Linked DNA regions of Drosophila melanogaster. The protein of the gene in region 1 interacts with the protein of each later gene in a pairwise test. Each region holds a gene or a part of one and is shown in the gene's direction. Other genes may lie near its edges.

What was found.
Region 2: the proteins of Stam (region 1) and Pkc98E interact in a two-hybrid assay, tested with the Drosophila melanogaster proteins (one large-scale study listed by BioGRID).
Region 3: the proteins of Stam (region 1) and CG11286 interact in a two-hybrid assay, tested with the Drosophila melanogaster proteins (one large-scale study listed by BioGRID).

What each region holds. Positions count from the first base shown.
Region 1 is NT_033779.5:10,856,582-10,862,566, forward strand, and holds Stam (signal transducing adaptor molecule), read left to right. Parts: upstream 1-1,954; 5' UTR 1,955-2,253; coding exon 2,254-2,296; intron 2,297-2,788; coding exon 2,789-3,066; intron 3,067-3,125; coding exon 3,126-4,329; intron 4,330-4,395; coding exon 4,396-4,940; 3' UTR 4,941-5,425; downstream 5,426-5,985. Other genes in the region: aurB (aurora B), read right to left, coding at 292-429, 490-1,207, 1,263-1,396.
Region 2 is NT_033777.3:29,037,297-29,042,166, forward strand, and holds the start of Pkc98E (protein C kinase 98E), read left to right. Parts: upstream 1-1,859; 5' UTR 1,860-2,068; intron 2,069-2,533; exon of another isoform or gene 2,534-2,776; intron 2,777-3,799; 5' UTR 3,800-3,975; coding exon 3,976-4,129; intron 4,130-4,303; coding exon 4,304-4,497; intron 4,498-4,570; coding exon 4,571-4,628; intron 4,629-4,693; coding exon 4,694-4,806; intron 4,807-4,870. Other genes in the region: Slu7, read right to left, coding at 1-497, 562-745, 802-1,030, 1,094-1,694. UniProt on the Drosophila melanogaster protein: PKC is activated by diacylglycerol which in turn phosphorylates a range of cellular proteins. PKC also serves as the receptor for phorbol esters, a class of tumor promoters.
Region 3 is NT_033777.3:7,770,349-7,773,493, reverse strand, and holds CG11286 (uncharacterized protein), read left to right. Parts: upstream 1-1,737; 5' UTR 1,738-1,793; coding exon 1,794-2,101; coding exon of another isoform or gene 2,102-2,102; exon of another isoform or gene 2,103-2,160; coding exon 2,161-2,283; intron 2,284-2,342; coding exon 2,343-2,487; 3' UTR 2,488-2,634; downstream 2,635-3,145.

The sequences.
Region 1 (5,985 bases):
CGCTTGAAATTGTCATTTATTTATTTAGGGTGACCGTTTGCGGGAAGCGCGAAAATATAGCATGGCCCACGAACTGGAACTAAGTAAGGCATGGGCTTAGAAAAATTAATTTAAAAGGGGTTAAATTAGAAAAAGGTAATTTAAGTAAGTTACTACCAATAGATTTTTATTTTTAAGCAGTTTTCAGATTTCAAAAATATACTCCAAACTTCATTAAATCTTATAAACCGTTTATTAAACATAAAAGTAAAATCTGAAATAAGTCGTTACACAATGCAAACTCGAAACCAGTCAATTTCTGGCCGTGTTCTCCTTGCCGCGCTCCCGTTTCTGCAGCTGCAGCTCCCTTTCGGCCATTCCCGCCTTCACCCAATAATGGGTCATCACATCCACCAAGGTGATGCGGCCCTTGCTTTCCTTGCGAAGCAGCTGCAAAGATGAAATCCCTGTTCAATAAATGGATCTCAAAGGAAACATCTTCCAACTCACCCCGCCAATCAATTCCTTGCAGCCCTTGGACAAATGCGATGGGTAGGAGATCTCCATGCGCCGGATCTTGCTGTAGGTGCTCTCCGTGCTGTTCGACTCGAAGGGCGGACAGCCGACGACGAACTCGTAGCACAGAATGCCCAGGCACCACTGGTCCACCGAGTCGTCGTAGGAGTTCCCATCCACCATCTCCGGCGGCAGATAGTCCAGGGTGCCGCACAGAGTCCTGCGCTTGTTGTTCGGCGTGTGCGCCGACCAACCAAAGTCGGCCAGCTTAAGGTCGTCCGTGCTGGTTAGCAGAATGTTCTCCGGCTTCAGATCCCGATGGATCACGTTGTTCAGGTGACAGTAGTTGAGGGCATTCGCCACTTGGTAGGTGTACTTCGCAGACCGCGGTTCATCGAATCGATGATTGGGTGCGCCACGCAGGTGCTTGAACAGCTCGCCCTCGGACGCAATTTCCAGGGCCAGATAGATGCGGCTCTCGTCGTGGAACCAAGTGAGCAGGCGCAGGATGTGCGGGTGCTTCAGTCGCGACTGGATCTCGATCTCGCGTAGAACCTGACGCTGCACGCAGCCCTTGCGCAGCTCCTCTTTGAACATCACCTTCATGGCCACCAGATAGTGCGAGTGGCGCTCCCGCGCCAAGTAGACACGTCCAAATTTGCCGCGTCCCAAGTGGGCGCCCATCTCAAAGTCCCGGGGACTCCAATCGTATCTGGAGGGAGCAGATTAAGTACGGATTGATACATTAGCTTATTGCTTGTACGTACGGCTGTCCGTATGCGTCGTGGGACATCATCTTGAGGCACATATTCTTGATCGGCTCCTGGTGCTCCTCGGGCACCTTGGCCAGCAGGTGCGGCAGGTGGTTGCGGTTGGCGTGCTTCGCGCGGGAAAGCGTCATGGCGCTGACTTGTTTATAATATTATGATTTTTAAGTAAATTAATTATTTTAAGTTGTATTTTCTATAAGCGTCCCTTTTGTTTGCGCGTTTTTTTCGAATGCTGAGATTAGTGTGACCGCATGCTAGAATCGAGTTATTCTGTGACTCTCAGTGAAGCAGTTAAGTCACTGTATTTTTAAATTCGGTCAACGTATAATAAAATATTTTCATGTTTCTTAAATAAAAATTAATCTTCTAGTTTTGTTCTTATATTGTGCATAGTTATTATAATATACGCTTCTCACCCGTAGGAGAATAGTTTGAGTGAAGGGCATAGAAAACTGTTTAATTATTATAAACCATAGCTACCAGTGCTCAAATCATATCAGATGTTTAATAGATTTATATTATTAGTTGTCTAAATTTATTTAAATATACAATATCAATAATATTTATATGTATATATAAATAAAAATGTTTTGCATAATATAAGTCTCGAATACCTCTAACTAACCATTGAAAATGAGCTGCAAAAAATCCTTTGGATTTCCCGACTATTCGCAATCTGGCCACACTCGCCATTAGTCATTTTTTACACAATAAACGTAAATTAAGCGAATTTGCAAGCGCTATTCGGAAGTTTTTAGGCTAATCGAAAAGATATAAGCAGCCCAAAAGAGATTTGGAAAAAAGCGAAAAGGTCTACGCAGGAGGAAGTACACCAAAAGCGTGCTTTCAGTCGCCGTGACGCACCGAAAATCGATTGGAGAGGAAAAACAATAGGGAAAACAGACAAAGATCAACTGATTTGGATTTATTGACCCCAGGGCAGCGCAGATTATTGGCAGATAGCCGAGCGAGCGGTTTGGTCATAAAGATGGGAATCTTTGGGCAGTCGTCGCCATTCGACGCCGACGTGGGTGAGTTACCACTTATCGTTAAGCTGTTGTGTTGGCCGATTGGACAAGCCGATGTTCCAATTGGACTGCACAACGGTCCAATATGCGTTTCATAGTTTTCTATTCTTATCTGGGGTCTAAAAACCCGCACACCACACCATTTTCCCCTGTTTTCCCTATGAACCCGATCCCCCGATTGAGCAGACAACAAAGAAAGTCATGTGAGATGCTGTGCGCAGCTCTGCGTCGTTCGTTGAACTTCTTATTGGAGTTGTTAGATGGCAGTCGCTGACCTTGAGTGACGTAGCACCCGCAGCCCCTCACACCCCCTCCGTTTACGCAGCCAACCCCCTCGCCATCCCTTAATGCAATTTAGTTAGTTTCCGATTGTATTGATTTTCTTTAGCTGCAATCAGTTTTCGAAGAAGCTTATCTTTGTTTTGCTGTGACTCAGAATATAAATTTCTATTTGACTGATAAGCTAATGCGGTTCATGCCTTTCTTGTTTTATAGAAAAGGCCACCAGCGAAACTAATACCAACGACAACTGGTCTCTGATTTTGGATGTATGCGACAAGGTAACGACCAATCCCCGCCTGGCCAAGGATTGCCTGAAGGCGGTGATGCGCCGCATGGGCCACACCGATCCTCATGTGGTGATGCAGGCGATTACGCTTTTGGACGCCCTGTCCAACAACTGCGGAAAACCGCTCCATTTGGAGGTGGCTTCACGGGATTTCGAGACGGAGTTCCGCCGCCTGTTGGCCAAAGCACAGCCAAAGGTTTCACTGGTGAGTACAAACAGTTTTAACTCACTTATTTCATTTCTAATTCCAATTATGATTCACAGAAAATGCGCCAAGTGCTGAAGAACTGGGCTGAAAACGACTATAAGAACGATCGAGAGCTCGACTTGATACCCGCACTCTATGCCAAGCTGCGCCAAGAGGGATATGATTTCAAGAATCTTGGCGATAAGACTAGCAAGACTGTTGCCGAAAAGGCCGCCGCCCTGCCCAAAGATCCGAATGTGGTCAGCAGCCAGCAGGAAGAGGATGACATCGCCAAGGCCATCGAATTGTCGCTGAAGGAGAACAAGGGCAGTCCAAAGACTGGGAGTGTAGCAAGTACCGGCACCGCCAGTGCCTATCCCTCATTGTATCCATCTTTCGCTGGAACCGGCTCGAGTGCACCGAGCGCCGAAGCCAGTTCCGCACCAGCGCCAGAGCCGAGAAAGGTTCGAGCTCTGTACGATTTCGAAGCTGCCGAGGAAAACGAATTGACCTTCTTTGCCGGCGAGATCATTCATGTGCTGGATGATAGTGATCCAAACTGGTGGAAGGGATACAATCAACGCGGCGAGGGTCTCTTCCCCTCGAACTTTGTCACTGCCGATCTGTCCGTCGATCCCGAGCGGCTGGACATCAATCAGCAGCATAAGTCGGCCGCCGCAGCCGGGCAACGAGAGTTGGATTCCGCTGCGGCACTGCAGCAAAAGACTGAAGCGGCAGCAGCTGCCGCCGCAGCTCAGCCTGTGGAGATCGACGAGTCAAAGATCGACCGGCTGCTGCATTTGCTGCACGAGGCGAATCCCGAAGATCCCTCGCAGGACAGCGACGAAATGCTGCAGCTGGAGCAGGAGGTCCATCAGATGGGACCGCTGATCGATGCCGAGCTGGAACGCGTCGACCGCAAGCACGCTCAACTGACGCAGTTGTCCAGCGACCTCGTCGACGCCATTAATCTGTACCATACCTTGATGCGGGATGACCGTGCTGCGGCTGGACATTTTGCCGCCGCTGCTGGCGGCTTTATGCCTGGACTTGCTGGTTTCCCGGGTGCCGCTCTGTACGGTGCTCCAGGTTATCCTGCAGCGGGTGGATTCCCACCGGCCCAAAATTATCCGGGCATGCACTCGATGCCATATGGCCCCGTACCAAATCCTCCCACTTCTGCTCCATCTCAGGCACCTGGAGCTCCTGGTGGCTATCTGGGTCAACCGCAGGGGCAGGTGCCACTGCCCTATCAGAACGGACATGCCGCACAGATGAACTGTTAGTACAAAGGATTAAAATACTTATTATATTTACCTATAATAACATTTTCAATCGTCTTTCCAGCGCTGCCAGCCCATTTGACTCAACCCACTGGCACTGCACCCATGCCCCAGCCAATCTACACTCAGCCGACTCCCGTGACCACCCAACAGCAGCAGCAGCCACTTCCACAGCACCCTCAACAGCCGCCACAGCAGCAAGGCCAGCAGCCCCCACAGCATCCCCAGAACAGCTACCACATCGACCCCCAGTCACAGTACGCCCAAGTTCCGCCCGCAGTCACACAAATCCAGCAGCCGCAGCAGCCACCGGCTCCGCACGCTTACATGTCGCCGCAGCATCAGCAGGCACCGCCACCACAGGGATACCAGCCAGGACCAAATCTTTATGGACCGAACGGATCGCCGGCCGTCGTCAACCCGCAGAGCTACATGTCCCCACAGCAGCAGCAGCAACAACACCCACCACCACACGATCAGTTTAGTCAGCTGCATCAGCAGATGGCCGCCATGTCCATGGCTGGCGGACCGCCAGTTGGGGCGCCCGGCTATCACATGCAGAACGATGCTGTCAAGAACAACATTCCTATCTACCAGCAGCAGCGGTAAGACCGCTGCACTAAAACAGAGACCTTCACTTGGTTCGCTTTGAATTGCCCGAGCAACTTTAAGCTTTGTCTTCATTCTGACAAAAGGATGTCATCGAGTATGTTAGTTTTGGCCAACTTGCCGAGAAACGGAAGTTGTCAAATCTCTGCTATGTACATTTTGAGAAGAGCAATTGTCAGTGAACCAAATATGTCGACTATCCTTTAAAATAACGAAAGAAGCCAAATTAATATCAAGTATACCCTTACGAGTTTTCGTTTTTTGTGTTTATATTTGGTCCAACGAAATGATATATTTTTCTGGAAGTAAGGCAATACCAGTCGAAAAAGATATATATACCATATAAATAATCTGTATTCAACAGCACGTATAACTTTGTATTTAGTGCAGGGGAGATAACTATTATGTATTATGTTTATTGTACGGATTATGATAAATCTAACGAAACGAATCACATTCATTAAAATCATAAAAATATACTAAGTAAACACAATGTCTTTGAAAATTGCAAGTCAAAAGCTTACGGCTACCCTTCTCAAATATTTTCAGCACTAGCAATCGATGTGGAATAATTTTCAAGAAAATTTTGGAAATCAGATGAAGTTTTTAGAAATTTTTTTAGTGATAAAGAAAGCAGATTATTTGTTTATTTCTCACTTGAATTGTTTGTTTATTTTTATGATATTTATTTAAATTTTCTTATCGATGCTATAAAACATGAAGGTAAAATTCTTTATGTAGGCTTCAGAAAGAGTAATCTGCATTGCTTTATAAACTGAAACAATTCAGCACGAGTTTTGGATTCGCACCCCTTTTAAACTTAACATGCTTAGAGCTCCATTCAACTGCGCTCATCCCCTTTTCGGAGAATACCTCCCTCCGCTCGTGTTAGTGCGCTTTTCCGATGAGATTCCAATATATTCAGACAAGCTTTGCCACATGCCACTGTCTCGCAATCCGGCAAACATGCAACAATTTAGCAAAATTCCATCCGGCATTCGGTGGCACAAATATCCTGTGAAATAAACTGTCAAAACGGGGCAGA
Region 2 (4,870 bases), on another chromosome or scaffold:
TTCTTCTCGCGCTTCTTCGACTTCTTCTTGGTCTTCTTCTTCTCAGGTTTTACCTCCTCCTCTTCGGATGAGGAGGGTTCCGAACTCGATGCTGAGTCCACTTCGGAAGTGGGCCTTTCAGGTGGCACTTCTGGTACCTTGAATTGGCTTTGAGCTGCAGGTTCTGTAGTAGCCGCTGCAGTGGAGCTCGTAGAATGATGTTCCGAGTAGCCCTCTGGCTCCTGCATGCCCACGCAGTAGGAGTTCTTGATGAAGGACTTGCAGCACTTGTAACCCCAGCGTCCGGCGTTCCAGAAACTGCCCCAAACTGTTGTGTGATTGTTGATATACACATCCTCCTCGTAGATACTGCGCGCTTTCGGTTTCTCCACGCCCTTGATAACCTTGCCGCTGCGAGAGTACTCGATGTACTCCTCGGTCTGCGCCAGCAATAGCGACTTTGGTGGAACCTGTAGATGCTCTTCGCCACCATATTTCTCCACAATGTGTGTTTTGGTCTGGAAAAATAAAGGAAATGGATATAGTAATGTTTCCAAGAAATTTCCATTTTCAATTACTTACACTTGACTTGAACTGTTCCTTCTTCTGCTCGTACTCCTTCTGAAGCAGCTCCAACTTAGTGGGCTCCGCTAGCAGATGCACATCAACCCCCTTGCCATGAGCTTCCCAGGCAAACAACTGGGCGGTGGCTTGGGCTGTAGTGTCTCCAGAAAAGCGTACAAAGTTCTCGCCAGCAAACTCAGCTCTGCAAGAATGAGTAGTTAAGAAATTTCTTTATATGTGCAACTTTTTGTTACTCACTCCTCTTCGGGGACAGCAGGATTGGGATTGTCACGCATGGAGCGCGTCTTGGGATCATAGTAGGCCGAGTTGGGATCCAAGTTCCTCAGGTACTTCGCCGTATCCTCGCGGATACGCAAGTTGCGCACTGTAATTCGCTGTTTGGAGTCCACTTTTGTGCCGGGCATGTCCACTTCGTCCACATATTTGTCCTCGTTGCCTTCCTCATCGGATATTTCAGCATCGGGATCTAAGGGGTACATGCGAATGATATTAATTCAACTATAAGCACTCTGAATTCACTTTTACCTACCATTTTTCAGCTTCTCTGCTTTAAGTTGTCGCTTGGCCTCTTCCACCTTTTCGTACTCCTCAATGATCTCTCTGTGATTGGCCGGATCGTAACTACTCCAGCGATCTCGTTTCTCGTCATAGTTCACCGCCGCTTCATTGACCAAATGCTCGTCGTGCACGACGATGGATTCAGCGTACTTGGCTTGGACTTTCCGCGGCCGCTCCAGGCAGTCCTTTCGTTTGTGTGTGACGGCGCCACAGTTCTCGCAGGCTCCCTTGCGGAACTTGGTAATGATGCGTGCGGTGTTAAGTCCTTTGGGCGCCCTCTTGTCCAGCTGTCCTTGCTCGTCCTCGTGCTGCGGTCGCTGATGCTTGAGAGTGGGCCCAGCCGATCCGTAATACCATGGTGCATTCGATATGTACTGCGGAATGTGGGGATTTATGTCGCGACCCTCCTCGTCGACGGCGGCCGGAGCTGTTCCCGCTTTTCGAGCCTCCTCCAGCTCCTTGGCCTTGCGCCAGTCCTCACGGGACTTCTTCTTGGGTTCCTCCTCGGCATCCTGGTCGTGCTTGCTCAGAATGATCTGCGAGACCGGCGTGCGCATGGGCCCCGAGCTCATATTGCCTGATTTTATTTACTAGATAATATTAGTTGTAATATTTATTTCTCTTTTATGTTATCGGTTATCGAAAAGTGTTGGCAAGCAGAGAAGCACTTGGCTTAACAGCGAAAGTGTTGGACAATCTGTAGCACCCCCACGATATGTATCGCCCACCTTGGCACATCGCTAACGTTTTTCCAATAAGAATTGGAGTGAAGTGAACATTTTTATCAATAGTAATACGCGAAACAGTTTTAAAGCCAATAAGAAAACTACCCAGCAATGCAACGGAAAATGGTGGACACTGTGATTTTGTGAAACTGTTCGAATTCGTTGGAAAACCAAGGAAATTGCCTGGGAAAACCAATAAATTTATAACGCTGTGCAAACGGGTGCGTTTAACTGTGTGCGTGCGTGTGTGTATAAGCGCATACATATGTCGAGCGTGTGTGTGTGTGTGCTCTAGTGTGAAGGCATCCTTAATTTTTTCGCACACATAGCTGAACACTTTTTCTCTGATATACAAGTTCCTGCGCGCGCATATGAATTATTTTATTCTTTTTGTTTCATTGTTGATTGCAATATTTTCTGCCTATTTGGTGTCGTGCATACCCATTTCACATAAACATTGTAAGGAAGCGTTTCAATAACTTTTCATTTGAAACGTTAAACATTTTCTATATACCAACAGTAGAGAGAGCAAGAAAATAAGAGAGTGGTATATGTATATAAAATCCATCGATGGGACTTTCTAAATATTACTCCGTGTGTGGTGCTTGATTGTGAAGCGAAAAATGTCAGCGAAACGTGTATCTCATAGCCAAGCGGAGTGGTTAGCATACAATTTAAAAAACAATGAAATATAATATTTGAACTACGAACATAGTGCGCATTTCGTATGTTTACCAACACTGCGTTCGTTAGTGTCAAGCTGACAGGTGGACAGTACGGCAACTCTGCCAGCTGGAAGACCTTCGTTTTCACCAATTAGAAAATTACAAATTTTCCAATTGGACGGGTTAGTTTAGTTAATTGAGCGCACTTATTGGCGTTTCGTCAGGTGTTTCCAATTGGAGTGGGCGTGAGACGCGCGTGTATTGGTGGGTGGCAGAAGTGCAAGTGAGAGGCATCATTAGAAATTCTTGTTGTTCTCTCTTTGTTGTTTAATCTGTGGAAAAAAGCTGACTGCGTGTGTATGTGTGTGTGAAAGTGTGAGTATATTTGCCATACATGAACACAAAGAATTTGCATAAAAAAGTGAGCAAGCAATGGCAATATACATATGTAATCAAAGCTAAACGACACTGAAAGTACCCAAGATTGTGTGCGAAGAAAAAGGGCAACTAAGTATGTACTTGTTCCCACCAAATTGCCAATTAGAAAACGCGTTATATCCCAATTGGATGCGCATTAGACTAGTGGCGAGACTAGTGTACACTAAACAACAATCTGTGGAATTGCGAAATAAACAAAGTTGCACTCCTTGGAATGATTTATACGCTAGAAATATTACCATAGCAGATGATGGTCGCGCACTATTTTCGACTTTTGTTCCACGGACTGTTGTCGTTTGAGCGATTGCCTAATGTACACACACAAACGGGCTGAAACACAGTGGCAGCCAAAATAGTAGTGTTGAATAGTAAAAGATGAAAAGAATTGATATTTTTGTAAGCTACAGATTTTCGTTTTGCAAAAATGAATGTACATTTTTTTCTGTGAATCATGAATCCTTTCAATTAAACCCAGAATAAGTCAGTAACATACTGAATCATAGTAGCGAAATTATTAATATTATTATCTGAATATACATCACATTTGAATTTTTTTAATAAATGCTATATAATAGTTAATACGCATCGTTAAGGAAATAAATAAATATATATGGTGCAAATTCCTTTAACATGTCATTACTATTTTGACCGCTACTGTGGGCGTAGATATGTGTGTGCACAAATTCCATCGATGCGAGGCTTAATCGACCTTGGGAGTGAATCGAGTATACCGCATACGCCATTCACGAGTGTCAATGACCTACGCCAACATTGGCCCACAGCGAAAGATGCGAATGGCAGTCAGGCGATTGATTAACCCATCCCGAATTGCTCTTCCTCCGATTGCAGATCAGGATCATCAGCCAGCCGCACACCACCACAAGCCGAGTGGTCCACCGCTGCTCCCCAAACAGACACGCAAGGACATCGCACGGAGGACCGAGGAGCAGCCGGATCACGAACAGGATCACGACCAGCAATAGGATCTAGTGCAGCCGAACGGGACATTCACCGATCGCACGACCATGTTCACGGGCAAGCTGCAGATCAAGGTGTGCGAGGCGAGTGGCCTGCGGCCCACAGACTTCCAGAAGCGCCACAATCTCACCTTCGGCAAACTGGCCGACGAGCAGCTCATCGACCCCTATGTCTCCATAGATGTCGACGAGAGTCACTTCGGTGAGTGTCCTCCCACTTCGATTTCAGCTCAAATATTCAAATATGGTTGGGAAACAAAAGTCAGTTAGATAGTTACAAATGTTAGTTACCTAGCTAAAGTGTTGCATACTTAAATGGGATTTGGCAGCTAACTTTATTTATTATTTCATTATCTGGTTATTTTGTTACGCACAGATCGAGCCACCACGCGGCCAAAGACATTCGATCCTGTTTGGAACGAGCAGTTCGTCCACGACGTGACCAATGTGAGCAACATCAACTTGACCGTCTTTCATGATGCTGCTCTGCCGCCGGATGACTTTGTGGCCAACTGCATCATCTCCTTCGAGGACCTCATGCAGAGCGAGACGGCTGTGCAGGATCTATGGGTGGGTTTCGAACATATAGTAGCTAAATCTCTAGGAATACTTATACTTACTTTTACTTCTTGAAACCTCTCAGGTTAACTTGGAGCCGCAAGGCAAGATTCACGTCATCATTGAGCTAAAGAATCGCACGGGTACGTAGCGAAATAAAGATTTGAACAATGTTCAGCGAATGCTGATCAATTCCATCTGATTTCAGATAAAGCCAAAGCCGAGGCCGTGGTGGAGCACACCGTGGCCGTCAACAAGGAGTTCAAAGAGCGCGCCGGATTCAACCGACGTCGCGGTGCCATGCGTCGTCGGGTCCATCAGGTTGGTGCCCATTTAACCAGTTGAGAATGAGCGTAACTAATATGTTTCCTTTGCTTGAAACCAG
Region 3 (3,145 bases), on another chromosome or scaffold:
AGGCCCAAAATCAATTTTCATGTCTGGTTCAATGTCATTTCGAAGTGGCGTACAATTACACCCGTAATCCCCTAGCATATGGCAGTAAATCTTGTTGTTTACACTCTCGTTGACCATCGACCATTGTCAATGTTTATTGTTTATTGTTTAACGCTTTTTCTGAATGACGTTTATATTTATATTTATATTAATATTATCAATGGCGGTGAACACATTCTATTAAATGAAATCCGCTATCTTTAAATGCAGTTTGTGGGAATTAGTAGCAGATTGTGTTAGTTTGTGTGCCCAGATTTGACCAACCACTCTGTTATTTGGCCATTTCCCCATTGGCAGATTGAGTTTGCATTTAATACCTTATACGTGATCCATCTGGTAATTAATGTCCCTCGTAGGCCGGTCGGTGAAATAAATTGGATTTGTTGTTAACATTTTAGTCACTGTTTTGTCATTACGCGCTGTGGGAAAGCTGCTGTCAATTTTGTGGCGACCAAAATGACGGTTGGCCAAAAGGCCAAGGGAAAACATCCACAAATTGATGAGATGAGCACTTTAAAGGGAAGTCGACCTGTCTCGGCATTAATAATCCCAGTGCGTGATCAAACTTCAGTCAGCCAATTGCTGGCTACTTATGCCCATAAATAGTTCATTGCATTTCCATTAGGCACTTTGCGGCAATCCGGACGACTGTTCGTTGACCTAATGCGAGCAATTCATTATCTGCAATTAGAGTTCAATTCACAGGCTCTGCCTGGCCAAAGTTCAAGGATCGGCTAGGCCGGCCTCTTGAGGCCATAACACATCATTAATGGTCTCTGCGGCCGGTTGCCAAAGAAAAGTGTAACAATAATGGGCTCGTTTGTTTTCATTGCACACGTGCCGGAGCCCCGACTTTGGTCAAATGTGCTCTTAATAGACCCAGCGTTTTGGGCCATGTTTTTGCTGTGCAAACATTGGCCAACTCTCCTGTCGGCGGCAGCTCCTATTCCCCCTTCAGTGGGCCACTCTTGTGGTCCGGCTGATGGCTCTGTTCCGTCAACTCGGGCGGTTCAAAAAATGAAATTAAATGCGCGAATGCATGTTTAATGGCGCGAAAATGTGTGGAATCTTTTTGAGAATAATTTTCGACCACACCTGGATAATGGGTGCAAATGTGGGTAGATTAGCAGTCGCACTACTCCTCATAGATTATTAGGAGGGACCATTATTAAGGGTACAAATAAGTCAATGAAAGTTCGAACAGGGCCCTGTTAGTTTTTCATTTTTTTAGGGACATCATAATTACAAAGGCTATCCAATCGCATTGAGAACTTTCGAGTTCGCAACTCTATTTCGGGCTCACTTGCAAAGTTTTTTTTACAATGGATATCCTTTAGCATAATTGCATGCATATTGCCTGCAATAATTGCATGTGATATTATTACAGAGATTCCTTTTTTGGTTTTTATTCCACGCCACTTTGAACCAGCCTGATTGTTGAATTAAAAAATTAATGAATGATTTTTGAAATGCCAATGTGAATGGCCGTGTAAATAAAATACAGCAGCCTGACCCCTTTCCATATATCGTCTGATGAATCCTCATGATGTTCTCGGCTGTTTCCATGTATATTTATAAACACCAGCGGCTTAAAACAATAATTCCCCAAGGACTCAGATGTTGTTGACGGTGACAACTATGTGGCGTATTTATTAAAGCGTTAATTGTCGAATCAAAGTAGTCACCGCATAAATAAGCCATTTAATATATCTCAAAAATCTCCAGTTTCCCAAGAGCAGTATCAAATTTTCAACATGTCCGCGACGAGCCTTGTAACCATTAAGTCGATCCCCTCAGCGGGAGATGTCCTGCGGGGTAAAAATGTACCAGTTCACCGCCTCAACGCGAAGTTTGTGGCCAAGGCCCAGGAGAAGGCTAAGAAAGTGGAGGAATTCCTGACTAGGACGAAGACCACTTCGTTGGTTTCCTTGTCAGGACTTGCTTCCCGATATGAGTTCCATCGTCTCCAGGAGCTCGACGAGTGGTATGAGCCAAGGATCAAGTTCCACGACGAGGCCGATGCCAGTTTGCATCCCAGCTACGATATAAAGCACTTTCAGTAGTCAGTTAAGAAAGAACTTGCTGAGTTACTTAGGTTTCCTGACACACCATTATTTCCAGCGATCTTAATTGCTATGTGCGGTATCTGGACTCCAAAGCGAAATATGATAGGCAGTTCCTTCACGAAATGGAGCACATTATTGCCAATCAACGCAATATCTGCGACCAGTTTTTCCTGAAGAAGTAAGCTAAAAGTTAGAAATGATAACATAAATTAACCGGGACTTTCGTGGCTTTTCTAGAATCCTGTGCTATAAAACAATGTGGCCCCCACTGCATACAAAGAGGGAACTGAATAACTTTGTCTCAAAATTCTTTCAACTGCCTCCTAAGGAAAAACGTCGCGTCGAGTATCTGTTGAAAACGGATTTAAGTCTGGGTTGCTAAAACTGATCCAATTGCAAAGTAAATGAGCCTTTTTATTCCACTTGGAAATGGTTTAATTAGCTCATTTAATTTTGCAATTATTCTCTGCAAAACTGATAAAATTACCTTATGGAAAATTGTACAGCCAATAAATTTAATTATGCAATTAAAGCCTTTTTTATAATTTCGCTGCAAAGTTAGTGAGCTAACAAATTGGATGGCTGGCGTAAGAACTGTAAGAAAATGTATTTTATGATTACTTGTTAAATTTTAATAGGATCTCGTTTACAAAAAGGTTAGTCAATCGGACAGCAACTAAATAGTTTTGAATAAAATCCGCATTTGTTTAATTATTCCACTAAATTACATTTAAACAAACTGCCGTTTGTGCATATTAAATATTTGAGCTGCGCTCATAAATAAATTCAAACAATGAATTATTATATTGTTAAACTGTGTAACTATGTGAGCAGATTCATGTTTAAAAGCAATGCAATTGTTTCGACCTCTTTTTACAAGTTACCGATAAGGGATAAATGTGTGCGTGTGTGATTGTATGCGTTTGTGATTGTGTGCGTTGACAGGAAGTGCGTCATTTGTCAAATGCTATTTTATGACCATTTTTTAGCCGTTCAGTCGAGTTTTGTTTGCACCGTGTATACACCTGAAAAAGAGCAAA